Diceros bicornis minor: one gene and its partners. The protein of the gene in region 1 interacts with the protein of each later gene in a pairwise test. Links are inferred from orthologs where the notes say so. Each region holds a gene or a part of one and is shown in the gene's direction. Other genes may lie near its edges.

Region 1 (7,051 bases):
TTGAAAAACAATTAGTCATATTTTCTTAAGCATTGTAAACTATCATCTTTGGTAAAGGGTCATCTCTGTTGTTCAAGATTTGAGGAAATTTGTGATTCCACAGCACTGTAAAAGTGTTAGTATCTTGATGAATTTTCCACGTTGTTGTTTTCAGTTGTTATAATTTTGCACTCATATGAGAAAGAACTGTGACTTCTGATAACTGTAGGTGCTGAAGTGAAAGAAAGAGGGTTATTGTCGGGGGGAGGGGTTTTTGTGTGTGCAGATACATGTGTATGAGATGAGGGAAAGGGAACTTTTAACAAGAAGTTCTAGGCTACAGAAAAAACTGGCGATTTTATGGTAGTTTCCATCACTCCTCTGCAGAGGTGTCCGAAACAAAGAGAGCTCGTTCAACAAGTCTGGAGACAGAGAAGACAGTCCACCAGCATTTATACTTTAGCCTAGATCACACATACATATATACACACACATACATTTATGCAGATATATACAAACATAAATTCCGTTCGAAAAGTCTGCAGCCGCCTTCAACTGCCAGTATTTCAAAATGATAAAAACTTGCTACGGCAGAATTTCTTCATGACAAGGATTTTAAGAAGTTATTGAAAAGTTATCAGAACGAAATGAAATGGGGTATTTGCTCTCTAGGGGAAGCTCTGAGAACCCCGCTCCACCCCGAGGGAAGCCAGCAGACGGAAATCGCCAGCCCGAAGCAGCTTGGGGCTTGGGCGGCCAGCGTCATCCACCCCATTTACGCTGGATTCGGGGAACCTTCCGTCCCGAGGAGCCTCGCAGAGAGGCGGCTCCCCTAAACCTCTCCCGACCTGCCAAGTGACAAACCTTCCCTAGGCACAGATTTGCTGCCCCTCTCCTGCTCTTACTGCCCCAGGCCTGAGCCTCGCGGGGTTTCCATGTGAGCTGCTCTGTGGCGCCCGCACGCCCCGCAGCGGCGGCAGAGCGCGGACCCCCGGGACTAGCGGAGTCAGGCCCGCGGCGTCCCGATTTCGTCGCGTGGTGCCCAGAGGCTGCCTCCGGAGCGCAGGCGCGAGCTCAGCCTGCGTAGAGGCCGGGAACCCGAAAGCCCGCGCTGCGGGAATAGAAGCTGGGGGCCAGGGGCCGCCGAGGAGGAGGAGCATTGGCATCGGGCTGGCTTGGGCATAGCCCGCGGGCTGGTGCAGAACCTCCGCCCCTGGCCAGGATCCCACGGCCCCAGAGCCAAACCCCTCCCCTTGTCCCAAGTGTTCTCCAGAGTCTGGCCCGGCCTCGAGGTCACCTGGATGCTGGATCCGGGTCTTGGGGCCCAGCTCCCACGCCCCCTCCCCGGCCCCGAGACCTCGAGCTGGGTCGACATGCCCTTTCGCGATGCCCCTCTTCCCCTCCCGGCGCTGCGGCCATTGCTGGAACGGTCGCGGCTTCTAGCCCAGAGTCTCCCACCTGGACATTTGCCTAGCGACGGCCGCCTCAGTCCTCTACGCTGTGTACAAGAAACTTTCATCTCAGTGTCTCTCCCTCTCTACTCTCCCCCCTCTCCCCTCTCCTCTCTCTCTTTCTTCTCTTAATCCCGGGGTTTTATGGGTTGAGCATTAAGAAAATTCGCCTGCAATTTGGGATTAGATAAATACTCTCATTAGGGGGGAAAAATCGTGCTGCTTGATACCTCCCAACTTCCCCGAGACCGTGGCAGCATCTGGAACCGAGAGCGCCGGACTCCCGCGCGGCGGGCCCTGGGGACCTCCTGGGCACATTCCAGCGCGCACACCCGCCCCACCTCGCCGCGCCGGACCTCGACCCGGCGCTGCGCTGCAGGCGAAACGGCCCGGAGGAAGCAGGAGCGCAAGAGATTGCGGGACTGGGACAAGGGCGCGCACCCCGGCAACGGAGGGCTAAGAACCCAGGCACACAGAGCGCAGGCCCAGGCAGGGGCAGCGCGGAGCTGGGGACGCAGACGCTGCGGAAGCGCCCCCCGGGACGCCCACACCCTGGTCCCCTCTAAACTAGTGAGCTCCAGCCCGCGCCTTTCCCCGCAGCTGAAGGCGGGGGTGTATTTCGTTTCTTTCTTTAAACCTCTGCACCGTCCCGGGGGCTCCGAGCCGCGGGCCGCGCCGGCCATTCCCCACGGGGGCCTGCGCGAGCCTAACGAGCGTTCCCGTCCGGGTCAGCGCTGCGCTCTGCGCAGTTTCTTTTCCTGTTAAAGCTTTTTCTTTCTCATGTTTTTCCTTTTCTCTCGTTTTTTTATTGTTTTTTCTCTCTCTCTTTCATTCCCTTTTGTGACTGGGCCGCGGTGTCTTTGTTCTCGAGAGAAGCACCCGTGTCGCTGACTTTTGTGAACCAGAGAAGGGTCTTGTAAAACCTCCTTTTCTCCTTCATACTCCTCCACTCCCACCCCTCCTTCTTTGCCCCTTTGATTAGATGTTCCCTCATCGTCCAAAAAAAAAAAAATGTAATTTCGTTGGTCTGGCGGCCACTTTCTTTGAACATTAGCTCGCTTTCAGCTCCCAACTTCAATTAGAAGGAGTTGATTTTGAGAGATCAACAAAAGAACCGACCAAAGCCTTATTAAAGGTCCTAAGAAGATCTCCCGAGTCCTTTGAGAAGCAGTTAAGGAAACAGTGTGCCCTCCATCATATTCTGTTACCGTATTTTATTCGGACTCCAAAGGAAAGTGTCGCTTGGGGGAGGGGGAAGCACTTTGATGAGCGGCGGCCGCGGCCCCTTTTCACTCAGCGGGCTCTCCTGCCTTCTCCTCCTCCGCCTCGCCCAGCGCCCGGTCCGCTCTCGGTCCCGACCCCACGGCCCCGGCAGCGCCGGCGCTCCCCACCGCGATGCGCCTGGCGGCTCCTTGACTCGCCCTCACACTTACTCCTGTTCAAAGTTTTCACTCCGCCTGTTGGGGTGGAGGGGAGGGGGGATTAGGAAGAAGGGGTAGGAATTCCTCGAAAGGGAATGAAGTCGTGCCTAATATTCAGGAGGAGGTGCCATTTAAAAGAATTGCGTTGCTCAGTGTTGGGGCGAAAAACTTTTTTGCGCTTTGAAAAGTCTACCCAGGTAGACGTGTTGGAGAAGTTGTTCTGTTGGAAAATGGGCTTTGCCAGTACGAACAATCCGGGGAAAGCGCCTCAAGGAGGCTCCTGCGGCATGTGGAAAAGAAATTGAGGGTAGCGGTCTGTGGCCACGTTTTCCAGCAGACTGTCCTGGTAGGAGGAGACCGGGAAGGAGACAGAGAGACAGTGTGAAAGAGAAAGTTTCCTATCAAAATCTTTCGATTCAGAAGTAGAGTGTGTGTGTGTAAGGGGGAGGGGACGCCGGGCTCCAACGTTTCAGAAGAAGCGTTTACAATTTGCAAGCACCCTTCGTAGGGGCTGGGAACCCCAAGAGACGCCGAGGAGCAGGTAAGGGGTGGTGCCTCTCCTGCGGGTGCTGTTCCCGGACGCGGGAGTCCAGAGGCGCCAAGGCGGGATCTGCGCACCCGGAGCCGCTCCCGCGCTCGGCACAGTAGCCTGTGCCAGCACGAGCCGCCCGCGGCGTCCGTCTGCAGGTGGTGGCGCGGTGGAGGAAGACGCTGGGGCCCGCGGCGCCGCGAGAGGGGCCGGGGCCCCCTCTCCTGCAGCCGCGGCTGCGGAGTCCTCGCGTCCACAACCGGGCCGCCGAGCCGAGTGGCGCTCGAGAGAGCGAGGGAACCGGTTCTCCGGCACCGCGCCTCCTGTCTGCCACTCCCTCCCGGGCGCCGAAAGGGCGAGAGAAGGGCGGGGGCCCCGGGACGGCCTCGGGACCGGCGTCCCCCTCCGCGGCCGAGGCTCGGGCGCTGCGCTCGCCTGCCTCGCCTCGCTCTGCGAGGCGTTTGCCAGCCAAACCCCGGAGTTAGCGCGCGACCGGGGCGGGGCGGGCGGGCGGCGAGGGCGGGGTGCAGGGGGCGGAGGAGGGCGGGGGCGCGCGGAGGTAACCCCCGGCTCGTGCTGCCATTGCCCGGCTCCCTGTCACTCAGCCCGCGCGGGCCCCGGGATTGGCAGCCTAGCCCGGTTACGCACTCACCTCGCGTTCACATACCCGGGGAGGGCAGTAGAAAGGTGATCAATCTTCATCAGGCTACGTTTCCAATCACCTAAACAACCGGGCGAGACAAGCCACTCCGACAAGGTAAATCGCTTGATTTATTTAGTTTGCAAAGTGCTTCTGCAGGACCTCCCCAGCCCCCACCGCCTCCACGTCGTACCGGGAGTGCAACGGCAACCGCGAGCCACCTCCCAACTCTGCCCCTCTCGCCCCCCACCCTCCCCCTTGCGGCCCCTCGGCGCGGTCCTGGCAAGGTAGTGTCTTGGGTAGTGTGTAGGGCTTTGCAAACAAAGTGTCTGTGCAAAAAAGTGAAACCTGGAGGGACATGCACAAAGCCACTGAAAAGAAAGAGAAAGGAGGGAAGTTGGGGAAAGAAAGAAATCCGGGTGTCCTCGACCAACCGCCCAGCCTGGCGGGTAATTCCTGTGCAGCTCTGTTTTGCAGGTTGGCTGCCCGGCGGGTCTGTGTGAGGGCGCGAGGTAGATGGTGAGCGGCCCCGGCAGCTGAGGGCAGGTAAGGAGAAAGCCGCGGGGCCGCCCGGGACTCTAGGAACGCGTCGGTTGCTCTTGCTTTCTCCTCCTCCTCAAACGGGTCCCAGCTTCGCAGATCCCCGGCAGGTGGGCAGGGTTGGGGAGCGGCCTGGCACCCCTTTTGAGGCGCGGAGGACCCAAGAGCTCTGCTGCGGCCCCGGGCCTCCTCCCCCGCCTGCTCCGAAGTAACCGAGCTGAAGTGCTAAGTTTGAAGAAAATCTTTGAAAACTCAAGCTGCAGCCTAGCAGAGTCGCCGCAGCTTGAGTCCCATTCTCCTTCGGCCCGAGAGCCCCGGCTGTTTCCCTTTCGTCCCCTTCCCTGAAAACTGGGTTCTCCCAGCCCAGGTTGAGGGTCCCGGAGGATAGGAGAGGGGAGCGTCTTTAGCTCTAACTCCTCTCCCTGAAATCCCTGGCCCTGGTGCCAGGCCTGCTGTGACTTCCCACGAAGCGGGGTGAAGCGACAGGTCATCTGGGCCCCAGTCCCACTCCCGCAGCGCCACTTTCTGACCCTTGAGAGTAGCGCCTTAGGTGCGGGGCAACTCGGGAAGCGAGGCTTCGACCTTCCAGCCCCGGTCAGCGCGAGCTACGCCGCCGAGGCCTAGTTCTCCAGTCTCAATCGGGTCCCGGGGCCGCGGGTTCAGCGGGTAGGATAGCGAGCGCGCGGGACCTGCTGCACTTAGGCCTCCCAAATCCGCGAGACATTTTTGGGCGCTGGGCGGGTCACCTTTCAGCCCCCGCCGGGACCCGGTTGTCCGCAACTAGGACCGGGCAGAAAGAAGGCTACCGGCTTGTGTTGGCAAAGAAGGGCCTGTGGCCGTGGCTGACCTCGGGCCGCTTGATAGAACCGCCACCTCTACAGTGGCCCCTTCTGGCCGCCTCTGCCGGACCTGCGGTTGAGACGTGGTGGGATTGCGGGTGAGCAATCTTTCAACGGCTGGGCATAGAGAGGTCAGCTGGAGGGGTGGCTGCGGGCCCTGGGGCCGGGACTCAGCCACGGAGACCTTTGAAGGAATGTACTCTCCTAAGTGGGCAGTGCCTCCCGGAGAGGCCCAGGTGCTGCTAGCACCTTGGTTTTCTGGTGTCTTTTGTCCCGCTTTCAAAAACAGTTGAAACAAAACGAAACAACCCCTTGTGCTCTGGGCAGCCCGCCCGGGTGCCGTGTGAACGTTTGCTTGTGCAGTATGAGGCCGGCTCCCACCGGACTCAGAATTTTGCCTAGACTTGGGACCTTGCACACTCTGCGGTTCAGGCTCAGACCTCCCCAGCTTGGCCCTGCTTTTAACCTCTCCTCACTCCTAGCGACGCCCTGCGAGTGTCTTTGGCCCTTTCCAAGCCCGGAAAGAGGCGATGACGATCCAGAAAAGTTTACTTTTCAAAGAAGCTGTGGTCTTTGGGCTAAGGCTTTGTAGAGCTGAGTCGACTGCCCAGCGCAGTTCCGTAGCCTGGGTCCCCTCCCCATCCGGTGGCTCCTTGCCTCAGAGAAGACCAGGAAGCTGACATGGCTCCGAATGACGGTTTGTATCGTGTCTCCATAGGCCGGGCCCCCAGACGCAGCAGAGCTTGAAAGGACTGCGCGGTGGGAGACCCGCACTGCGCCCGGCCCCTGGCCCCCCTGGATCCGTCGGGGCGCCTCCACCCGGCTGTTAGCATGATGTCTTACCTCAAACAACCCCCATACGGCATGAACGGGCTGGGCCTGGCCGGGCCCGCCATGGACCTCCTGCATCCCTCCGTGGGCTATCCGGGTGAGCACCAGCCCCCACCCCAGCCCCTGCTACTTTGGGGACCCTCGGTCTCGGGTTTGAGCACACGCTTTGTTGCCCAGCAGGCCCAGGGAACCGGTTGCCTAGTCTGCTTAAAATTCAGGGCAGGCTGCAGGCTCACAGGGCCGAGTCGCGGGTCGGTGAGATGGGCCAGGGCGGCGAAAACGTTCAACGTGCGCTCTCTCGGCCGGCCACACCAGCAACCTGTATCCTGTTGTGGTCCCACTGCCAGCACGGGGCACATTTACCCACGGATTCGTTTCCCATGGGTGGCTTTTTTGGTGTGTGTGTGTGTGTGTGTGTGTGTGTATGTATGTATGTGAATCTGTTCCTTTCCCCCCAATATGGAATGCGGAATCTGGACACTCACTAGGCCCTGACAGGAGGAAACGAGCTTCCCATATGGGAAGCCACTGGCTAAGCCGAGGAAGGGGAATTCTCCTTCCTTAGTTAAATTGTCCTTTAGACCTGTCGCCTGTACCAACTTCTGCGCTGCTGATGTGGACGGCTTGGGTCGAATCCTGGCTTTCTTTTCTGGTTCCCATTCCTGCAACCGCATTTATTCCCTTGGCAAGTGTTTTCCAGGTCGTGTTTCTGCGTATCCCTTCCCCATCCTTCAGCCAGGGAGTATGTGGGAGTGGTGGTGAAGGAAGGGAGATTGTATAACCTCTCTTCCTTCCTTAACCTCTAAGCGGCAGGGAAGGGG
Region 2 (7,690 bases), on another chromosome or scaffold:
GATACTACTGTGAAATCAAACCACTGCCTCTCTCTACCCTTCCTTCCTTCAGACCCTGGAGGTAGGTCTGACAAAGCAGAAGCCTATTCTACAATCCAGCTACTATCATCTAGAAACCTTCAAAAATCTCAAGATAATATAATATGGACCATTAAGTTCTGGAATTTTTTCTCCATCCACAAAGAATCTGACTGTAATAACTGAATGTCATCATGTTCTCCAGGTGAGATGAACATTTTGCTATTTTTCCATATTTGCTATCATATAATGTTGTCCAACATTATACGGTAGATCTGTTAAACCAAAAAGAATGTGAATATCCAGGATTCATCTAATGAGTACTTTTATAAAGTATTTAGGGTGACTCAAAACCAACTCTATCTTGTTAAGCCATTGTGGGAACTTAGTTATACAAAATTGGGCATAAATGATAAAAATCATACAAAGGTATTTATTTCTACTTCCATGGAATCATCCAATTACATTGAGATATAAATGCACTAATGCTATTCTGAAAGAATAATATTGTGTCTTTTGAGTTCAAGGCTGATAAGTTAAATATTAAGGAAACATTAATAACTAATAATTTATAAAAACTAAAGTGCATATAAAATGTAAAACTCTAATTATACCTCATTTTATATATTTGGGAGAAAGACTATCTTGTGTTTTCTTTTTCTCATCTCCTTCAAATATTGATGAAGAAACACAAGTATTTTCTATCTAAATAAGTTCCCTGAGAAGAGCATGTCTCTAAGGCTTGATTAAAACCAGTTCAAGAAACAGGATAAGCCCGTTTACTAAAAGTAAAGAAAAAGTGATTTTAAGCAGTCATATTCTAACTATCTTTCCGTGCTCCACTCTGGAGAAGTATGCCTGGATGGAGCAGTCAGGGTTTTTTAGATTCAAGCAAATTTCTTCCTTTTCTCTCTGCTTTTCGAAGGTAAAACAGTTGCTTTTAAATAAATGAGCATGTGGGAAAAGAGAATGAAATGTAAAGATGCTACATAATTTCTTCCTGAAAAAACCTTCCAAGGGTATCAAACTCACTGAGGTAGAATCCAGGTCTCCTAACGATGACAAATACCCCTAATTATGAGTAAATGTACTGTAAATATTTTTATGCTCTGTCCTTTTCCAATACCTTCTGTCTGCAAATATCTTGCCTGCAAATCTCCTGTCTGCCTTACTATGAAGTCATTATGCCAAAAATCCTGCTGCTGTATCCAGATTCTCTGCACTTGAAAAACACATCCATAACAGTATGGAAATGATCAGGATCAAATGCTGCTTTCTGTAGTTACCACACAGCTGTTTAATGATGATAAGCTCAATGAGCTCCAAAATTCTGTGTAAAGAGAAGACATTCCCATGGCTGAAATGAACTGAAATCCATTTCTGAGTCATATATAATAATTTTATATAACATTTACAATTTTTGCAAAAAAACTTGAAGACATAATTCCCCGCATATAGTAGACATCAATAAATTTTATTGATCAATAAAGTTTATTGAATTGAATTATTGACCTAGTCATCATCTGATGTCACTGGTGTTGCAGATATTTCCTAAGACCCAGATATACACACAGATTGCAAGTGACCAAACTCTATGAGGTGAAGGTCATTAATGCCATTTGTTCAACATTAAGATCATAGGCGACACGTCCAGTTCCTAGAACACTATCACTGAAGATTCTGGCTAACACATAAAGGATTACACAACAAACCATAGGCATGAAAGAAAGTCACCAAGAGGTTACATTTGACTTTAGCAAGTAAATTATTGGCAGAATAGCCAAGTTGTCCTAGGTGCAAAAAATTGCCCAAGTAGCCATTATTACAATTTAGGGAAGCTCATGGAAGTAAGGATCATTTTTTTATTGAGTATGCTTGTTTTCAAGTTGGTTCTAGGAACACGACTCTGGCGTCTAGTTTAAATGTGTGCCATTACATGGAGCCATCTCTGACAGGGTGGACAGAGGAAACAATGTTGTCTCTCTGTGTACTGCTGGGAAACAAACAAATTGTGACAGGCAGCAATGAGGATCCAAGAAGAAGAAGCATCAGAAAAAATAATAAAATACTTTTTTTAAGTGTGTTATTTATTCATTCAATCATGCATTCATTCACTAAATACTTAGTGAGTAAACAATACGTGCCAAATCTTGTTCTGGGCACCAGAGATAAAAGTGCAGGCAAAGCTCTTGAGATCCTTTATTCTAGAGGAGGATGAGGAGATAATAAACAAGTAAACAAATGCAAGCTGATTCAGATAGTGAAAAGTATCTGGAAGAAATCAAAGCAAGGAGATCTAACAGAGAAGAACCCTGGGGCCAATTAGATCAGGTGGTTAGATAAAGCCTGAGGAGGTGATACTTGAGCAGAGACCTGTAGGATATGAAGGAGCCTACTATGTAAAGATCTAGGAGCAGAGGATTCCAAACAGAAAGAACAGCAAGTACTGTAAGCTAGACTTACTCAAGAGAGTAACAGAAATAGGCCGATGTGGCTATAGCACACATAGGTATGGTCTATGGGAACATGGCGTAAGAGAACTGGGCTGGGACAAGATTATACAGAACCTTCTAGGCTGTGGTAAGGATCAGGGGTTGTATTTAAAGTGCAATGAAAACTCACTGGAAAGTTTTAAGCGGAAGCATGACATGATCTGGTTACGTTTTTAAAAGATCACTCAGCTGTTGTTTGGAGAATGTGTTGTTTGGGGTTGTGGAGGAGACCCCACTGGCGGCTTTTGTAGTAGCTCAGGTGAGAGACGATAGAGGTTTGAACCATCGTTATAGCAATGGAGAGGGAGAGAAGTGGAGGAATTGGGGCTATATTTTGGAGGTGGAGACAACATGGCTAGCTAATTAATTGGATGCTGGCGTGAAAGGAAGAGACAAAACAAGGATGACTTCTAAATTTTTGACGTGAGTAACCGGGTGGAACAGTCTAAAGAGGAACAGGTTTGGAGGGGGCGGGTATCTGGAGTTCTGCTCCTGAGTTGTCAGTTAAACATAATAATAGTATCTACCTTGTAGAGAAAATAAGAAACATATGCAAAACATGTAGATCAGTACCCAGCACACCGTAATTGCTCCATAAATATTAACTATTATAATCATTCTTCAAATGGAGTTGTAAAGGTAGTTGAGGGCATAAAAGAGCTCTGTGAGAGGTGAGGACTGAAGATATAAATCTGGGAGTTACATAGAATTCAGTGCCCCTCAAATCATTTTTGGTGAAGGACTTCTATTTTTTATTTTCAACGCGTCGTGGACCAATACTTTTGTAAAATCCAACAAAAATGAATTACTTTACAAATCAAAAAACAGAAAGTACAGCTGATGAATGTGCTTGGATGTCAAGGCAATGTCAAAGTGCTATAAAAGTTTCTACATCTTACTTTCAATTTCTGTACTTCTCTCTCCTTACAGACCGATAAGGAACAATTTGCAGACCAACACCAGTCCAGGCAATACATTTGGAAGAGCACTAGTCTTCAAAGCCATGATGTAGCGAGAAGGAGGCCCTGGAGCAAACTCTGAGACACACTTAACTCAAGTAGAGGTGGAGAGGTGGGAGGCCAGAGCACGTTCCATAAAGGAGACTGAAATAACAGCACTGTTTGAATACATGAGCACACAAACAATGGGAAATCATATATACTTACAAGTAATTAGTTTGCAATAGGTATAAGAAAAAAGCCTAATCATTCCTGCCAGGAACTCACTCCTCTTCCCACAGATGTCACATCTGAAGAGAAAGACACCCGCTTCCCTAATTCACCCTCACAAACACTTCAATCTAATCATCGGAGATGCAATCTAGCGCTCAGGCTGCATTAAGTAGCCAAAGCTCCTTCACTACCAAGCGGGGCTCCGCTTGTGACTAGAACAATTATCAGACCTGATAGCTACTGAGCTGTCCCTGAAGGATGCTCCAGGCCCCAAGCATCAACACCTCTGTTAATAATTCACGACTCCTGCCTTGTCATCGGCTTCTCTCAATCAAAACTCTGGTTCTAGTGGTCCAGACTCCTGAGACAGAACATATGCCCCAGACCAGAGAGCATCTGAAATAATTCTTAGGGCAAAGGGTCAGATTCCCGGGTGAGGACGTCAATAAACTAAAGAACTCTTCCCAAAGTCGAGTCCTTGGGTAAGCAAAACTTGCTTAACTTCACACTTTCTTGAACCCCCACACAGGGACTGCTTCCACTGGGACCCCGCTGCTGCGGCGCTGTTTTGTTCCTTAAAGACATGCTTCTGGTGTCAAGCAACTCTCCTCAAGCACAGGATGAAACAGACGAGGGCTGCGGGTGAACGTGAAGTTGGAGCCTGGGCGCGAGAGCCTCTCTAATCAAGGAAGGCTCCCAGGTCTCCAAGGCTCCCGCGAAGCCCTGCACCCGCGCCGGGAGCTCCGGCCGAGACCCTCCGCACCGCGGGCGCCGAGCCGCGGGCAGCGCGCGGGGGCCGGGCGGGGCGGTGACTCACGCGGCCGCGCGCCCGGGGAAGAAGCGGCACCTCCGGCCGCGCCGGGCGAGGGGCTGCGCCCGCCCGCGGGGCGCATGCGCGCTGCCGAGCGGCTCCAGCTCCCTCCCCGCCCACCCCTCCCTCCGCCCCCTCTCCCCTCCCCTCCATCCTCGCCTCTCTCCCTCTCTCCTCGCCCGCTGGGTGCTGAAGTTGGGCGGATGGCAGCAAACCGGCTCCGCTAGAGGACCGAGCAGCCCAGCCTCGCGCCCCCGGACCCATCGGTGCGCTGCCCACACCTCCAGGCGGCTGGGTAAGATGCTGGCTCCGAACCCGAGCGGGGCTAAGTAAATGACATCAAAATGTCTGCTTTGCACCGAGGGATGAATTTTTTAAAGGTGGTGGTTGGGGGGGGGGGGAAGTGAAGGAAAGAGGGGGCGGAGAGTGCAACTGCCAGCGCCCTGGCGGGGGAGGCTGCGGGCGCGGGGGGCTCGGCGCTGCTGCCGCGCCGCGGGTGCGAGCGGGGGCCGCGCCGCGGGTTTGGGAAGTTGCGTCCGGCGTTGCTGCCTCGGCGCGGTCCGCTCGCCGCCCTCCAGCTGCGGCGGACGGGCTGGGCGAGTGTCCTGCCCGCCCGGGGAGCCCTCGGTCGGGTCCCCCGCGGAGAGCTGGGCGCCTTCGGGGAACCGGCAGAGGGCCCAGGGCGGCGGAGACCCCGCGGGGGCGCGAGGTCCTGCGGGATTTTTGTGGGGGTTTGTTGGAAAACCGAATGTGAATTGACAGTGTCCAGTCGACCGATCACCTTGGCATGGTATTTTTTCTTTCTTTACCTTTGGGAAAACGCACTATTCAGGTGGGGAAGGTGTAAGCCAAAGGGATTGCAGAAATGCATACCTTGAGCATCGGTGAAATGTCTGAGGTGTGTGTGTGTGTGTAGGGGGTGGGGGTCTCTTTTGTTCTTTGCCCTCTCCTTAGTCGAAGGAAAGGGAGTTCTTGTGTGCTTGGCTTGGGGTAGATTTCACAGCCACCGAGGGGGCGAGGAGGAGGAACGCCCACCAATTCCCTAGCCGCTGCCCAGGTGGGTGTATCCGAGACTCCCCTGCTGTGGGTGATGATTCTTTTTATTATCGATAGAATCACAGTTTAATAGCCTCCCTCCTCCTCTCCTCCTCATGTGCTGCGGCAGAGGCTGGGTGCAGACGCTCGGCCGTTTCCTCTTCTCCCTACCTTCCTGTCTCGGTGAAAAATGTCGGAGGACTTCAGGATGGCGGAGGGACAGAGCTGGCCTCGGAAGCCGCGGATGGGGAGATGCTCCTCGCGAGCTGGAGGCTGCTGGCAGTGCGTCCCGGGCAGCCCGCGCCAGCCTCGGGAATCGCCGGGCTCCCGGGGACAGAGCAGGGGTCTCCTGGCCAAAAGGATGCGCGCCGTGCGGGACCCGCCCTGCGCCCTCCGCCTCCATCCAGAGCCCAGGACACCGGCTCACCTGGGACAATCTCAGTCGCTCTGGCAAGACTGACCCTGGCTCCTGGCATAGTTTTCCTAACCTCTCTGACCCTTTGATAAATGCTTCCTTCTTTAAGCGAGTCACTGGAAGGTTTGTCTAGAGAACTTTGCAATCTTCCCATAGTTTCTTTTTCTTTTTTCAGTTGTTTTACAGCGAGATTACTTCCATCATGGGATGGCTATCACAAGTAATAGAGAGAAATCTTAGAGTTTGGTTCCCGTTTATAATAAGCATTTATAAGACTGGATATCTATCATCTGCATTTCCGGATTTCATACATACTGTTTTTCCGGGTGATGAACCCTTCTGAAAATCATTTAATTGGAGAAAGGAGAAACAGTTTTTACCCTTGTAATGGAAAATAATGTTTTTCTCCTGGTTTCATAGCTGCTAGACACTATGTGTATTAAATAATTTTGAAAACTGTGACACTTTAAGTCAATTGTATTTGTTTCTAAAGTCTTTTGTAGTAATAGCAGGTATCAGTGAAATATACATTATAGCACTAATATCTAATGAAAAGGTGATTCGGACTCATTAATTCAAATGAATGAGCATTTTGATCACCTCCAGTTAAGTCACTATTATTAAGCTGCTTCTTCTGTTAGCATGAACTAAAACAGTAATTAACACACTCATGGAAGAGTAGATTTATTCACTATTTTAAAAATCTTAAAAACTATATTTAGAGAAACCATGAGAAAGTAGTTTATTAACAGTTTTTGGAGATGAGAAAACAAGTGTTTATTATTACAAAAGGATTGGATGGTATCACATTAAATAAGATGAATCTCCATGACAGTGACATCTGATCTCAGAGCCCTGGGCACTCATCCTTTGTCCTGAATTTATAGTCTGAGAGGTTAAGAAAACCACCTAATTTACAGAGCAAATAACATAAGGTGTCTGTGCCGATTTCTACCCTTTTTTCTCTGGTTCCTCAATTACTCCTTGGTGTTTAATTCCCATAGAAGGGAATTAACAAGGAGTTACTTTGCTGTCCAATTCTAAGGAATCCAGCTTTTCCTTCTCAAATAGCTATCTCTTTGCTTTTAGGGATCTTCCTACAGGGTCCTAATTTATTTGAACTCATCATGTTGAAAGTCTAAGTCATTATCATTCCTATGGACTTCTTACACTTTTGCATAATAATAATAATAATAATAATAATAAAACATTTCTTAATATTTCCTACTATGAGGGCCAGGGGCTTTGTAGAAAAGGAGAAATATACACATTCTTACCCATTTGACCTTATTATAACAGCCAAATCTAAATCTAAATTGATAAAAATTCTGGTTGACTCATAGACTAAAAAGTAAGAAAGCGTTTACCTGTGTTCTAGAGATAATGGCCTTCATATTAAAAGTCCATTTGCTGAAAGACATGGGCTTTTCTGAAAAATGAAAGACGGGCATGAACGATGAGATGTGGAACCAAGAGGGATAGGAATCCATCCAGTTGCATTTCTGCTGAGATTCTTTTTTCTGAATATCCAGCTCTGCTTACTTAACAATGAAGATACAGCACTGCATAGAAGGGCAAATGCAAGGACCACTGTACACTCAGTGGATGACAGTAACGCTGTGTGATGTTAAAAAGCATTTTATTTCATCTGATTACTACAGTTAGCGTATAAGCATAAATGCATTGTAGAGGCTTAAAATTGCATGACATTTCCAGGAAGGTGTTCTGGATCCTCAAAAATATTGTA
Region 3 (7,579 bases), on another chromosome or scaffold:
TTCTACTTATTTTCAACTTTTTAGATATTAATTACTTTTTTAAAACATGTATTTGCTTTACTTACTCTTAACGATCACAAAGAGTTTACAAATTTTATAGAAGGGATTTTTAATATTTGCAATGACCTTTATCTTAACGGGAAGTAAAATGTAAATGAATAAAAATTCCAGATAAATGTTAAGGTGATCAGGCTCATTAAATTCCTTAATCTGAAATTATTAGCAGATAGCTGCTCCAAAATCCCACTTAAAACACACGTACACACACAGCAATACAATTATTTAAACCTAAGAGTTCAGCCTTAGAAAAACAAAAGTAAAACTGAATTAACTTGAAACAATTACAAGACAAATAAATTCATTATTTGGGGATGAAGCTCCTAGAAAGAGGGAACCTGAGCTATTTCCTCATCATACAGTGTGTTTGAGGCAATGATAACTTATATATACAGAGCTTTAAAGCTTACCAAGTACTGCATATATATATTCAGTCCACAGTAGCACTATAACTTGGGAAGGCGAAGTATTGTTATTAACTTCAGGTTTTTGATGAGAAAGCAAGCTAAGAAAAATTAAGTGAGGGTCACCAAGCAAGAAAGTAGCAAAGCCAAGACTTGAGTTTCATATCATCTGACCCTACGTCAGGTACTCTTTTCTCAATACCATGCCATTTTCATGCTTGTAATATTGGACATGGGGAGATTATGGACGAATATGGTATATTAGCTAAAGTTATGGACCATGATATAGAAAAATGATGTAGTCAAAACTCATATTTTCAATATATGTGTCCTATCAATATTACAGACCACGTGAAATGTTTTTATAAGTGGAATTATTTAAAATGCTCCAAGAGAATTGCAAATCAAAGAAGACTCTCAATATAAATTCTTTTTATAAAAAATCTCTTGTAAGTTTTTGTGTTTTCTTTTTTCAATATTAGGCATTCTTAAAGAAGGCGTGCCTACAGCCATTTCATCAAATAAATATTCTTTTATTTTCCCAGCTAAAGGATAAACTATAGCCTTTGGAATAGGTTATTTCAGTCGGAAATAAAGATCAAAGTGGGCAAGACCCAGGAGAGGTTTTAAATTGTTTTTGTTTTAACGAAAACATGATTGTGTTTTCTAACTGTTTTATCTTTGGGGGCACTTAGAGGTTTAAATTAACCTAGGTTTTTAGTGCTTGTCTCTGAAGATGAAGATAGCAATAGATAGTTAAGGAAATGAGAGATTAATAACTTGCTGGCCAGAATCAAAGATGATACCAGGTGATCATTATAAGGGCCATTCCATGCCTTGTTTCAGAAATCACATCAGCAGAAGAGATGGCTAATCTTGTTTTCTTGCGAAAATGAAGAACAAGTCAAGTCTCTAAAGGAAACGTTTAATATTATGGAAGAGGAAAGAAGATAGGATTTATTCTTCAATTGGCTAGACAAGAAATGAAGCCTGTTTTGCACTAGGTGAAAGATGTCTCCTTATACGACTTTACCATGTGGGTTTCATTAGTCCAGTCTTTGATATACAGTAGTGATGCAGTTTGTCTGAACTTGCCACTTTGATTCTCTGTAAAGGAATATGACACTTAAGGAATGAAGGGCACCAATTCAGAGCCCTTCCATGTGCATTTCTTTCTTTCCTTACAACTTGTAGAAAAACAGAATCACTTGTGACAAAGTACACAAATGGTTAGTTGTGGAATTATAGAGCTGACAGAAACTACAAATCATTTAGTGTAGTTTACTCAATATATTGTTTGATTTGCCCACTTCCACAATTTGAAATCAATACAGAACATTAGTATTTCAAATAGGGCAGAAGGATGAGAATTACGCTTATGAAAATGAAGAGACTGTTTATGGAAAATTTACAGAATAGGTTGGTCTATTTCTGTCAACTACAAACATTGTTTACAAAAGGAAACTGAAAATAAAATGGCCTATCCTTGCCAGCTTTTCTTGGGAAGTATAGTAATATAGTGACTATTGCCCTAGAAGGAAAGTAGAGACTGAGCATCCATTCCTGGTTCTTCATTGATTTATTAGATTCTTATCGGCTAACTCACCAACTTCTGTGATTATTTTGTTTGTTTCTCAACAAGATAAAAGATTATAGTTATTATCATGACTTCACAGAAGCATTGGGAGAATTAATAAGATTATTTTTCAAGAGCTTGGAACACATTATGGTTCTCCTATTTTGGCAAATAAAGTAGATAAATGACTAAGTTAAGCCTCTCAGTATTACACTTTTTAAAAACAATCCTTAGCAGTTGTGAGGAATTACCAGACTGTTTTCTTTCATTTTACTTTATCCTTTTTTCAAAAATCAAATCAGCAGAAGAGATGGCTCATCTTGTTTTCACATGAAAATGAAGAACTAGTCAGGGCTCACTTTCCATTCCACTATATTCTTTTAGACATATCTTAATATAGTAAACTGAAAATTATTGTAAGATTTTCCCATGGATATTTACATTGTTTTTCCTTTTCAGGAAAATTTTATACTCCAACTATCTATTTCTAGCCAAGGTACACTGTAATTAAACTTACTAAGTAAAGAACAATCTCTATTTTAAGCTAAAAATCTAGAATTTCTACAAAGTCTTACAGTTGCAGGCAATCAAATGGAGAAGCAGGTTTTAAATCTCTTCTAGATCCAGGGTGGCAAGGCTATACTCATACTTATTTGTAATGCAACATTTAGAGCAAACCACATTGATATATTTCAGTGCTAAATGATGTAAAGGGTCATTGGTCAGCTTTGTGCAGCATAATATTTGATTTCTAAATAGAACATGACCCATGATGATGGTGTTATAGATAAAATTTCATGGATTTTATTTATTGTTGTAATTTAAAAATACTTAATCTCATGCAAATTATAACTTAATATATCTGTGGTTGAAATAGTTTGAAGTTTATTTGTAATAGAAATCTTTCAAATAAATTTTTGTAAGATTTATGGAAGTGGAATGTTCAGTGCTCCCTCTCCTGGTTTTATCACATTGGTGAAGTGACCTCTCATCCCAAAATTGTGGTGATAGCTGAGAAGACAATTTTGAAGAACCAGTTAAGTGACTCCGATATGATCTTCTATTTCTGATTTGACTATTCCAAATCCATTAATAATGGTCAAAAAACCTATCCATCATTGGTTAAGGTTCATTACATCCCAAAATATGAGATAGATGAAAAAAATAGAAAATATATACAATAAAGTTGAGTTTATGGTTTTAAACAGCCTGTTTTAATACAATTTATAATATTAAGAGTGATATGTAGCTTATGTCTTCATTTCTTGTTCTGTTATTTTCTATTGATGCTTTCTTTTCGTTGTTGATGGTCGTAACAATGCCCTAGGTTCTTCAGAGCTAATTCCAAATACAACTCTAAATTTTTAAAGTACTCAAACATTTGAAAGTCTAGTATAGAAAAAAAAAATTCAACAGAATCACTTGCAGTTGTAGAAGGAGATTAAAAAAATTACTTTGAACTGAAAATTTCCATACTCAAATTTATGTAAGATTTAGATTCTGGAGTTTTGTTTTGTTTGCTTTACTTTGCCAAAGACTGTAAGATACTTCTGCTATGTAGTACCTGGAAAAAATATTTCCTTCCCATTTATTGTATGTTTTGGGGTTTTAGGTATCTTTCAAAAGTCTCTCTAGAACCTTAAATTTCACATAAAATTTTCCTCATTGCAGCATGAAGTACATGATTTTGATAATAAACGTCTAAAATCCCATAGTTTGTAAGGACACAAAAAGCAAGATTCCTACTGATTAAAATGCTCGTCTTTTTCAGCGACATTATATATGATTAAGAATTAAAACTTCTTGGCAAGTTATTTCTATTTTAATTAATTGCCTTTTAGATGATTTTAAAAAATAATTTTTTTTTATTTTTTGCAAAATTATACAAACATATTACAAAATTGGAGGAATTTAGGATTTTTTTTCATTTTATTGATTTTGGGGGATTATATCACAAACCGAGAGAGCAATTATTTAAAAATCTACAGCAGGAAATTTCACCTTTATGACATGATGTAACAGGACATTTGCAGTAAGGGGTGCCACCTTTTGAACTTCGAGATTTCGCATATTCTGAATTTGCTTTACGTAGGAACTGTAATGTTCCATCATCGTCTTTTTAATATCATTATACATTTTCTCTCCAGCTGATCATAAGTGATAGCTTGGCATACCAGTTTTTAAAATCTTCTTTTATTCTTTAAAATTATTTTCTAATTCAACTTTAAGGGCCGAGACCACCAATCCTTTTACTGAGATTGATAACTAAATTTAAAGGTATTCTTTTAAGACAAACTACATTTGCAGGATTTTCAGAGCAATCTCAAATTTTTAGAGGATGTTTATTACAACGACCATACAGGGCAACATTTCCCAGTTGGTACACATAAACGAAAGAGGAAACGACTGTTGGGGAAATCCTGTTCCAGGTTTTCAGGCAGCCCGTGTGATTGACACATGATATCACTGGAGGCGTGTCTCCGAGCGGAGGTGGAGGTGGAGGCTAGGAGCTGAAATTCTGCGGCGCTGGAGTGGGATCGCTCTGTAAGGCACGCAGTGGTTTGCAGAGTGATAGCAGCAGACAGAGCTCCCTGCCTTGGATAAGGAACAGCTACAGTCGCTGTAAATGTGCCTGAAAAGCAATTTCCAATCTTTGCGTTAGGTAAGAACCGTTTCCTTCCTTTCCTTCCATAGACATTTCAGGAAAGATTAGGTGAGAAATGTTGCACGGAACCGAACATTTCTTTGAACTCGCTTTAGATCTAAGATTACTGGTTGCATTTCAAATTACCAGTAGCATTCCCACTGCTAAAACGACTGCTTTTAAAAGTAAATGCTACCGCTAAAAGAAAAAGCAGGTCCCTTTCAATTTTTTTTTTTTTTACTTTTCCGAACAGTAACAAGTTTAAAATCTGAAACAGTCGGATGTGTGAAAAACAGGGTGGTTTATGCCGAAGAGGGGCTCGGTGGGTGGACCAAATGCATGTTTGTTTAGGCATTGTTGGCGACCGAATCCCGAGCGAAGCAATTGTTTAAAACCTGAATTTCCCGTCTCTGTGTATTGATTTCCAATGTGCAGAGGCGCTGCTTGAACGTTGTTTGAACTCCTAGGCATTCCAAGGGGCAAAAGCACTTCGGCAAAAACGTGCAAGACTGCATGTTACTTTGGTTCGCTGCTGACACGCCGACTGTGCGCCGGCCTGTCAATCACGGGCAGCAGCAACAGCCAGCACATGGCTGCGGGCAGCGGGCGAGCTGGCGAGTGGCCCGCCCCGCTCCACTCTCCGCCCGGGCGACCGAGCGCGCGACGTGTCCAAGTGCCTGGAAAGAAAGGGAAATTAACGTGTTTTTGTCTCTGCTCCTCTGCAGCAGGCATTTCCGCCGTGGACCCGGAGGGTCGGAGGACTGGGAGCGCGCGCTGCCCGGGAGAGGCTGACCGCCAAGACCTGAGTTCCCGGGGACGCCGTGCCCCAACTGGCGCAGCGTGCGGGATCGCCAGCGTGCCTCGACCTGCGCGGGGGCCCAGCCACGACGCCCCGCCTCTTCCTCTGAGAAGCACCCCTAAACCTCGCTCCTTTCACCACCACCCCTAAAAGAGCGGGTAAAAAACTCCCACCCCCCGACCCCCGGAGAGCGGCGGCCGCGGCCTCGCAGGCGTGTGCCCCCGGTCCGCGGACGCCGGTTCGAGCCCCGTCCCGGGCGCCGCGAGTCTCGAGCGTCCGCGCCGTGGACTTTCCCTCCTCCGGAGGCCGCCCTCCGTCCTTCCCCGCGAGGAGCGAGCTGAGCCCGGGAAGCCCTCTCGTCCGAGCACCGCGCGCCCGTCGGCGGCCCGGCACGCACTCTTCTCGCCGCTGTCCCGAGCGACTCGGAGAGCCCGCCCGCGGGGGATTCTGCTGCTGGCTCTGGGCAGGGGGCTGCGGGAGGAAGGCCGGGCGCTGGAGCTTCCTGAGCCGTGAGCGGTGTGCGCCGGCCGCCCCGCGTCTGGGAGAGCTGTCCGCCGCCGCCGGAAGGGGGCCGTGCCGAGCGCTCCTGCCGGCGCTGGGGAGGCCGCGGGCCGACTCGCCGCAGCTCGGGCCATGCCTCCTCGTCCTCCCCGCCGCGGTTGATGCGGCGCCTGCACGCCGCCGCCCGCACCGGGACCTCGGCCGGGTTGCACGGCTCGGCTCCGCGCCCCCGCTTCGGCCTAGGTGAGTGGCGGGGCCGCCTGGGCCCGCGGGGGGGGGGGGGGACGCGGGCGGGGCTGCTCGGCGCGGCAGGTGCGGGCGCGGGGGGCGGCGCGGGAAGGGGAGGGGCGACCCCCTCGGCCCGGGGCGCTCCGGCTGGTTTAGCGGGGAGGGGACCTGCCGCCACCGCGGAGGACGGCGACGCAGGGTCCCCAGTTCCTGGCGCGCTTGTCCTCCCGGGGGACCCTCCACGCGAAAGGTAGACTCAAGGAGGTTTCGGGTGTTCCCCGGAGGGCCCCGGGAGCTTCTCGGCTCGTGCCAAAGGCGAGCTTTCAGTGGAGGAGTCTCCTGCGGACGGGGGACCGGGGAGGGCCGTGTGTGCATGTGTGTGCGCGCGTGTGTGCAGGGGCGCAGCCCCGGCATTTGCTGGAAGCCCCTGCACAGAATGAGTCCGCGCCCCCGCCGCTGCAGCGCTCTCCTCGTTGCGAGAGCGGTGGCCCGGCGAGGGGCGAGGGCACTGCCGCTTTAACGGGGGAAGTCCGCCCCCCTGAGGTCATGGTAACCTCAGCCTCCTCCCTCCGCCCGCCCGCCCGCGCGCGCGAGAGAGAACTTGTTTTCATTCATAACTTTTTCCTTTTCCTTCCTCTCCGCCACTATTTATTCCCCGCCGCTCCCCGCTCGGCTTGCAGAGGGCGCAGCGCCACCGTCGGAGCGCGCGATGTGGCGGCGCGGCTCGGCTGCCCCGGCCCGCTTCCCCCCGGCTCTTTAGGAATCCGGCTTCTCCTTGAAAGTAGGGACAGATATTTATTCGTACCCTTCCATGGCCGGGGCTTGCTTTTGGCGCCTGCGTTAGCTCCGAAGGCTCTTCATGGTTGTAGGAAAACTTGGTGGGATATGCAAAAATGTTCTGGAAATCCACGGTGATCCTTAGGATGTGATGGGATTGTCCGAAAAGGTATTGGATTCGTGTTTTCTGGGGGGAAAACAGTTTGCCGAGAGCGTGTGAGCGGGTTTGGGGAGAGCTCAAGGACTGTCACTGCGTGCAAAGGGGCTTTGCTTCCGATCAGAGGTGGCTCGTTTTCTTTGCTTTTTCTTTTTATCTGGTAATCGAATTCCCAGCCAGCATGCACTTTGTTACAGCTCTCATTTCCAACTCCGATTCAAGTTGAGCCTGGTGTTTTTACTACGCTCTTCAAACCCTTCTCCACGGTTTTTTCTTTCGGCTAGAATCTGACTTAGGACTTTTAGATCCTCTTTGCCTTCAAAGCACCGGGTTAAAAAAGTTCTTTGCAAGGAGGAGTGATATTGCGCAGAATAACGATGCAATATTTTTAACAGTCCTTAAGGACTCCAGGACTAAACCCAGCAGGTTATGAATG
Region 4 (7,314 bases), on another chromosome or scaffold:
TACTTCCTTAGACGGAGAGAGAGAGACTGAGGGAGAGAACAATATTTCTGTAGTTAGCCCGGCAGGCAGTCTCTCTCTAATACATCTGTAAAACAATACAGATTTGTTTTACTCTTACCTACAAAATTGTCATTAAGTGTGAGAGGAAAGGAGAGAACACCAAGGTGGTCATTTGTCCTGCCGCAGTCATCCCTGGAAAATTAAGAAGGCAGCGGCTGTGTAAAATCATTCTTAGACACCAGCATCCATTGGATGCCACATCATTAAATTCCAGTCAGTTCCCAGCGAAGTTCCTTCTCTCCTGAAGCAACTCTTCAGTAGGCTGGCTAACCTTGAGAAGCAAAAATTTACACTATAATAAACTTTTGAAGGTGGCCCCTCGCTCCCCCCCAAAAAAAGAAAAGAAAAAAGGAAGAAACTGAGGCACAGAGAAGTTAAGCAGCTTGCCTCAGGTCCCACAGCAGAGCTGGGATGTGAAACTCAGGGCCCCAGTGCCAGAGACCAAGACCTTCCTCGCTGTGCCTGCTGCCTCCCATGATTAATGAGGTCCTGCCTCCTGGGGCTGCGGAGGGTGGCGGCGTACAGAAAAGGAAAACTCACAAAAGTGGCATGGCAAGCTTTCGAGCATTTGGCACTTGCTCCATAAAATTGTAGCCACTATATTTATTGTTATCTTCTTTGTTTGTCATCACCTTTTGGGGAGCCTAGGATGGAATGGGGACAGGGTTGGGGCAAATGAAGGGTGGAGAGGAGGCAGGGCTTGTTGAAGGTCACAGAGCAAGTGGGCCTGTCAGACTCCAGTGCCTGCTGGCACCCTGCCCCCCCACACCCCCTGGCTACTTGGTCCTTGTGGAGAGACGGGTCCAGTGGGGCCGTCCAAGGCAGACTGGGTCAGGCTCCTCAGCTATGGATGAAGCAGTGGCCAAGTGGCCTCCCTCACTGCCCTGATGAATTCCCCAGACCCTGGGCCTGCAGCCCAGCCCGCCCAGGGCAGGGCGGCTGCCGTCCCGACATACTTTCCCCCTGAATTCACAAGGGGAGGCGGCTGGGCGAGCTGAGGGCGCCCACATGTCTCCTGGCCCAGCAGGGCTCTGCCAGGAAGGGCCTGGGGCCCCCATCACGCAGGCCCCGGCCCCTCTACCCCTGCCTGGCCGGGCTCCTGGAACCGCTGGGTCTGGCATGGTGGGAAGGGGGGCTGGCTGGGGCGCTGGCCAAAGGCTCAGGCCAGGAGGTCCCAGGCAACAGAGTCTGCACAGCTAATGAGGTGCCCGGGCCAGCATTTCTAGTCTGGATTCTGTGGCCAAGGGCAGGGAGGGGGTGTGAAGGCCTTAGGGGTCCCACCTTCCCCAGTTCTAACCCCAGCTGTGTGACCTTGAGCTGTCTCGTCTCCTCTCTGAGGAAAATGTGAATAAGAATGATCTGAGGCACAGCGTCTAAGTTCCACGTCGTATAATGAGGCTAACACTGCAGCCAGACAGTGGGCACAGGTTAGCTCATTCAATCCTCTCAATAACTATCCTCTCACAACTATCACCTCCATTTTACAGGTGAGGAAACTGAGGCACAGAGAGGTCAAGCGACTTGCCCTAGGTCACACAGCAAGGCTGTGCCTGGCCATGTGGCCCCTGAGTCTGTCCTAAGGTCCAGTGGTGGCAGGGGTTACTATTATTGGTAGGAATGATGCTACATTAATTCTAAGGAATAATAATGTCACACTAATCCTAGCAGGCGCTGTCATGGCTCACCAAACCCTCCAGCCTTCCCCCTCTGCACCAGCACAGGCCCCCGAGGGGCCCCAGGCTGGGAGGGACAGAGCACTCCTAGTCCCTGGGGTCAGGCCATCCCAACCTTCTCTGCCAAGAATACTTTGCCAGGGGTCCCAGGCGACTGTCATACAGGCACCAGCCCCTGAGCCCTGCCCAGCAAGAGCAAGGAGGGCCTCCTGGAGGAGGGGGCGTCAGAGCTGAGACTTGAAGGATGGAGGAAGATATTTGGGGTGGTGGGGAACAGCAGGTACAACGGCCGGGAAGGACACCTAAAGTGAGTTATTCTGTAACGTAAGGCTGGTGTGGTGTGCATGGGAGGAGGGAGCGGCTGCTTGGAAGGGGGATTTCAGGGCTGGTGGATCGAGGAGCCGGGAGCATGAAACTAGACTGTCTCAGGGCCTCTGTGTCTGATCTGCAAGCTGGGACTTCCTTAGGGCCTCTGCCTTTGCCATTCCCTCTGCCTGGAACGCCTTTCCCCAAGTCTCCCCATGGCCATGAACAAGGCCACGTGTGTGCAAGCTTCAGCCCCGTGCCCAGCCTGTGGCAGAGGCCTGGCTTCCATGTGCCCTTGTCTCAGCTGCATGAGGCACACACAAGCCCACAGGCCCTGCCGGAGTCGTGGTTTTCCCAAGAATTCCAGCGCCAGCCAGGAACGGCCCCCAGGTGTGCTGGACGCCAAGGAAAACAGGAGGTGAGCTCATGGCCCGGTGGCAGGCAGCAGGCAAGGCGGGCACTGTCAGGGCACGGGCTTCACTGGAGACATTGGGCTGGGGCTAGCTGTTCCCACCCAGCCTCACCTCCAGGCCCACCCCTCCTCACTCACCCTCTGTGGCTCCCCATTGCCCTCAGAAGACAGCCCAAGCCCCACACCACGAGCACTGCTTCTCCTGAGCCCCAAGAAATCTCTACCCTGAGATCAGTCCATCTAGCAGACCAGTCTCATGTCTGCCTCAGGGTCTTGTGTATACTGTTCCTCTACCCAGAAGGCCTTTCCACCATTTCTTTGCTGGCCGTGTCCTCCTCATCTTCCTGGTCCTTGGAGCTCCCACCACTGCCTGTGCGTCCCCCATCACAGCCCTGGCCCCTTTTGGTGATTATATAGCTGCCTCCCCAGTGACCTGGGTTTCCCATGAGGGAAGGGCCCAGCCTGGCTTGTTCACCCTGTGTCCCTGTGCCCAGCACAGGACACAACACACAGTAGGTACTCAACGCACATTTGCGGAATAAATGAATGTGCCTGAAATTTCCCCACGTCCAAGCTCCAAACGCTTCCCTGTCAGAACTGTCCTCTCCTTTTCCCTCTGCTGATTTGAGTCCTCTCTTTCCTTTAGGTTTCCTTGCCACCTCCTCCAGGAAGCCCTCCATGACTTCTCTGCAGCCTCCCAGGAGAACAGATCTGACTATGACCCTACCCTGGCTTCACCCCTGCCCCCTGCAGTGGCCTTAGGCTAGTCACATTCCCTCTCTGAGCCTCAGTTTCCCCGTCTATAGAATAGAGGCTGCAAGCACTGGAGGGTGGAGGTGGAGAGGGTTAACTCCAGAAAGCCAAGGTGTCTTGTAGCTCAAGTGCGGCTGGGCTGGGAGGGACGATTTTCCTGATTAGCAGTAATTTTTATTTTTATTACAGGCTGTTCCCACAGCAGCTGGAGCGGAGCTTGGAAGGTATGGCAAAGGCTCTACAAACAGAACCCCCAGGCCCCCCCAGACCTCCGCCAGCAGAGCCTGTTGATTTGCTCTCCGCCCCCGCCCCCGGAGGTGGATTCACGCACAGCCCATCGCACAGACTGGGAAGCTGAGTGGGCTCCCGGCCCCTGGGAGACCAGGCTGCCCCCACCCCATCCAGAGAATCACAGAGACACAAGACCAGAAAGGGGTGCCTACAGTCACTGGCAACTCTCTGGGGAGGGGGGCCAGGAGAAAGCCCCCGTGCACCTGGGCAGGAAGACAGAGGGTCCCTGCTCTCGCTTGATCCTTCCTTTTCCTGTAATAACAATCACCACCGTCAACAATGATACTTATACCTCCATTGTGCAGGGGAGGAAACTGAGGCACAGAAAGACATCATTTGCCCCATTCTGAAGCAAGTGAGGAGGGAGGGAAGGGCCAGCCAGCCTGACCTAAAGCAGGGTGGCCAGTGGAGGTGGGTCCTGATCTTTAGCAGCTGTTAACTCAGTTTCCCCAAGTGTGAGCTGAGGGGAGCCGCCATGGGGATCCTCTCCTTCCCCGCTATGCCCCAGTCCTGGCATACATCAGGCACTCAATAAATAAGTGAATGAGAGGGATGAAGGGTGGTCCCACCTGACTCACCGCCCCACCGACCCCTGCACAGGCTCCCCGTGACTCAGTTTCCCCGCCGGGTCCGGGTTCAGCCGCGTCGGGCGGGGCCTTGAATGCAGAGGCCAGTGCCATCTGTTTACCTTGCGGATGGACGCTGGGCAGGGCCGTGGTGGGCCGTCCCTGGGGCCGGCCGCGCTGCCGGGATAAATAGGCCCCGCAGGCCTCGTGGGCGGCAGAGAGAGAGCCTCCGTCCAGCTCCCCGTCGCCGTCATGGTTCTCGCCGCCGCCTGCGTTCTCCTCCTCACCCTGGCCGCCCTCGGCGCATCCGGCCAGGGCCAGATCCCGCTGGGTAAGCTGCGCCCTCCCCCGCGGTGTGTGCCGGACCCCCAAACGGACAGGAGGACCCGCGGGAGGCCTGGGGTCTCGGCTCCTTGGGGCTCCGGGGCTGTTCGCGGGGGCGTGCAGGGCGGAGGCTCAGGAAGGAGGTGGGCGTCCGGGGTCCCTGCGCCGGCGGCGGAGTGAGTGGTGGTGGGGGTCCTCGAGCCCAGACGCCCCACCAGCGCCCCCTGTCGGCGCAGGTACAGACCTGGGCCCGCAGATGCTGCGCGAACTGCAAGAGACCAACGCGGCGCTGCAGGACGTGCGGGAGCTGCTGCGGCAGCAGGTGGGGGCCGGGGTGGGGGACAGGGAGTGCGGGAGAGGGGAGAGAGGCCTGGGAGAGAGGGAAGGGGCCTCGGAAGTAGAGGAGCGTCGGGGAGAAGGGGGTCCCGGTGGAGGTGGGTAAGACCCCCTTACCAGGACCTGGGAAGGGGTTGTGGAAAAGGAAGAGGGAAAGCGGGGGCAGGAATAGAAGGTTCCGCGGAGAGGGTAGGAGTGCTTGAGGGGGTAGAAAGTCCCAGGGAAGGAGAAGAGGGGCTGGCGGGGTAGGGAGTCTGGGGGTAGGGAGTGCGAGTGGAGTGGGTGGGTCTGTGGGAAGGGAGTCTGGGGGAAGGAGAGGGGACACCCGAGGGAGGAGAGGGGTGAGGACCGCTGAGCACGCCCCGTACTCCCTGCACTGCAGGTCAAGGAGATCACGTTCCTGAAAAACACGGTGATGGAGTGTGACGCGTGCGGTGAGCGCAGCTGGGGTAGCAGAGACAGGGCGGGCAGGAGAGCGAGAAGAGACGGGGAGACAGACAGAGACGAACAGCGAAGGGAAGACCGGGAGGAAAAGAGACGGAGGAAGAGAAGGAGGCCGACCCAGATGGAGATTGGATGAGGGACGGAGAGAGGCGAACAGGGAGGGGAGACAGAGACTATGGGAGGGGGAGACACAAAAAGAGCCAGAGGTCGTGGGAGAGATGCAGGGAGGTGGAGAGACGCGGAGGGAGAAGCAGAAAGCGGACGGACGCGGAGAGGCAAAGACCGCAGTAACTGGAGAGACCTGGCCAGCGGAACGCGCAGTGCGGGGCGGGGGGGCGGGGCGTGGTCCTGCTAGCTCCGCCCCGGGGCGTGGCCGTGACCAGTCCCGCCCCGCCCCTCGCAGGGATGCAGCCCGCGCGCACCCCCAGCCTGAGCGTGCGGCCCGTATCCCAGTGCGCGCCGGGCTCCTGCTTCCCCGGTGTGGCTTGCACCCAGACCGCGAGCGGCGCGCGCTGCGGACCCTGCCCCGCGGGCTTCACAGGCAACGGCTCATACTGCGCCGACGTCAACGAGGTGCGCCCGCCCCCTACTGCCCCGACGATCCCCCAACGCCTGCCCCCACAACTCCCCACCGCCCCAACAACCTCCTTTGCTGGGGGTACTCGCCCGGAGGACCCCCTCACCGCCGGGAGTGCACGTCCAGACAATCTCTCCACCGTCGGGGGGCACCCACCCCAACCACCTCCCTCACCACCAGGGACGCGCGTCCCACCGACCCCCTCCATCGCCAGTGACGGCCGCCCCGACGACTCTCCTACCGCCGAGAGTGGTCCGCCTCAACGACCCCCCTCACCTGACCTGGTGCCTCCAGGGCTCGCTAGCTCGAATAACCCTTCCACCACCTCGGGGCGCCTGCCTCGGCGACCCCCCCACCGCCGGGCACGCACGCCCCGACGACCACTTCCCCCTTCTGCTGGGGACGCCCGCCCTCACAATTCCTTCCCCTACCCATGAGTACCCAACCCACGGGGTCGCAAGAACAGCCCCCTCCAGACACGCCCCTCTCCCAGCTTGGTCGCGCCCCTGCCCCCATCAAGGCAAAGTCGCATCTGACTCGTGGGACGATGGCCTCCGCCCTACATGGCACCCCCCTCCAAGTGCTGGCTGATGACCGTGGAGCCTTCTAAGTCCAAGCCCAAGAAACCCTGAGGCGCTGCTCTCGGGGGGCCCAGCTCCGCGCCCTTGACACCCCGTGGCCCTTCCTCCCCCAGTGCAACGCCAACCCGTGCTTTCCCCGCGTCCGCTGCATCAACACTAGCCCCGGTTTCCGCTGCGAGGCTTGCCCTCCCGGGTACAGCGGCCCCACCCACGAGGGCGTGGGGATGGCCTTCGCGAAGGCCAACAAGCAGGTGAGGGCCGTGGGAGGGAGGCGCTAGGAGGAGATGGGGGGCGCACTTTGTTGAGTAACGCGTTCTCTAGCCTCGAAGCCTTTTCCCCGCCTTGCTCCAGCGCGAGGGGGTGGGGACCAAGGTCTGGCGGATGGAGAGAGGAAGGGTCCGCGTCAGGGTTGGGGGCAGGATGGAAGGGAAAAGTAGGATGCAGAGGAAATGTGAGCCTCGTGGGAGGTTCGGGGGTGTCTGCGTGGGGGCGGTTACCTCTGCGCTCCCTCCCACCCAGGTTTGCACGGACATTAACGAGTGTGAGACTGGGCAGCATAACTGCGTTCCCAACTCCGTGTGCATCAACACCCCGGTAAGGCCCAGGAGGAGAGGGGAAGGATCGAGCGACGGGGGCGGGGTGCGGTGCGAAGTGGCAGGCGGCCCGGGCTGACTGAGACTCGGGCGCAGGGTTCCTTCCAGTGCGGCCCGTGCCAGCCCGGCTTCGTAGGCGACCAGGCGTCGGGCTGCCGTCCGCGCGCACAGCGCTTCTGCCCCGACGGCACGCCTAGCCCATGCCACGAGAAGGCCGACTGCGTCCTGGAGCGCGATGGCTCGCGATCGTGCGTGGTGAGTGCGCGCGGGCCAGGAGGGGCGAGGATTGAGGGCGCGGGGGGCAGCCACTCCGGGGCGCCCACTCACTCCTTCACCCGCAGTGTGCCGTCGGCTGGGCGGGCAACGGTCTCCTGTGCGGCCGCGACACGGACTTGGAC

What was found.
Region 2: the proteins of OTX1 (region 1) and RGS17 interact in binary tests that used the Homo sapiens proteins (3 or more experiments, as listed by UniProt). The two-hybrid records come from large-scale screens. The link is inferred for Diceros bicornis minor from reciprocal best matches to the Homo sapiens genes OTX1 and RGS17.
Region 3: the proteins of OTX1 (region 1) and SPRY1 interact in binary tests that used the Homo sapiens proteins (3 or more experiments, as listed by UniProt). The two-hybrid records come from large-scale screens. The link is inferred for Diceros bicornis minor from reciprocal best matches to the Homo sapiens genes OTX1 and SPRY1.
Region 4: the proteins of OTX1 (region 1) and COMP interact in binary tests that used the Homo sapiens proteins (3 or more experiments, as listed by UniProt). The two-hybrid records come from large-scale screens. The link is inferred for Diceros bicornis minor from reciprocal best matches to the Homo sapiens genes OTX1 and COMP.

Annotation. Positions count from the first base shown.
Region 1 is NC_080751.1:24,466,456-24,473,506, reverse strand, and holds the start of OTX1 (homeobox protein OTX1), read left to right. Parts: upstream 1-4,035; 5' UTR 4,036-4,137; intron 4,138-4,471; exon of another isoform or gene 4,472-4,484; 5' UTR 4,485-4,566; intron 4,567-4,810; exon of another isoform or gene 4,811-5,497; intron 5,498-6,117; 5' UTR 6,118-6,230; coding exon 6,231-6,327; intron 6,328-7,051. UniProt on the Homo sapiens protein: Probably plays a role in the development of the brain and the sense organs. Can bind to the BCD target sequence (BTS): 5'-TCTAATCCC-3'.
Region 2 is NC_080778.1:15,790,775-15,798,464, forward strand, and holds the start of RGS17 (regulator of G-protein signaling 17), read left to right. Parts: upstream 1-4,687; 5' UTR 4,688-4,788; intron 4,789-7,690. UniProt on the Homo sapiens protein: Regulates G protein-coupled receptor signaling cascades, including signaling via muscarinic acetylcholine receptor CHRM2 and dopamine receptor DRD2.
Region 3 is NC_080750.1:16,482,968-16,490,546, forward strand, and holds the start of SPRY1 (protein sprouty homolog 1), read left to right. Parts: upstream 1-4,577; 5' UTR 4,578-4,699; intron 4,700-5,406; 5' UTR 5,407-6,142; coding exon 6,143-6,224; intron 6,225-6,380; exon of another isoform or gene 6,381-6,459; intron 6,460-6,996; exon of another isoform or gene 6,997-7,155; intron 7,156-7,579. UniProt on the Homo sapiens protein: Inhibits fibroblast growth factor (FGF)-induced retinal lens fiber differentiation, probably by inhibiting FGF-mediated phosphorylation of ERK1/2. Inhibits TGFB-induced epithelial-to-mesenchymal transition in lens epithelial cells.
Region 4 is NC_080759.1:6,347,718-6,355,031, reverse strand, and holds the start of COMP (cartilage oligomeric matrix protein), read left to right. Parts: upstream 1-4,313; coding exon 4,314-4,392; intron 4,393-4,621; coding exon 4,622-4,707; intron 4,708-5,103; coding exon 5,104-5,155; intron 5,156-5,568; coding exon 5,569-5,738; intron 5,739-6,436; coding exon 6,437-6,574; intron 6,575-6,842; coding exon 6,843-6,917; intron 6,918-7,012; coding exon 7,013-7,171; intron 7,172-7,257; coding exon 7,258-7,314. UniProt on the Homo sapiens protein: Plays a role in the structural integrity of cartilage via its interaction with other extracellular matrix proteins such as the collagens and fibronectin.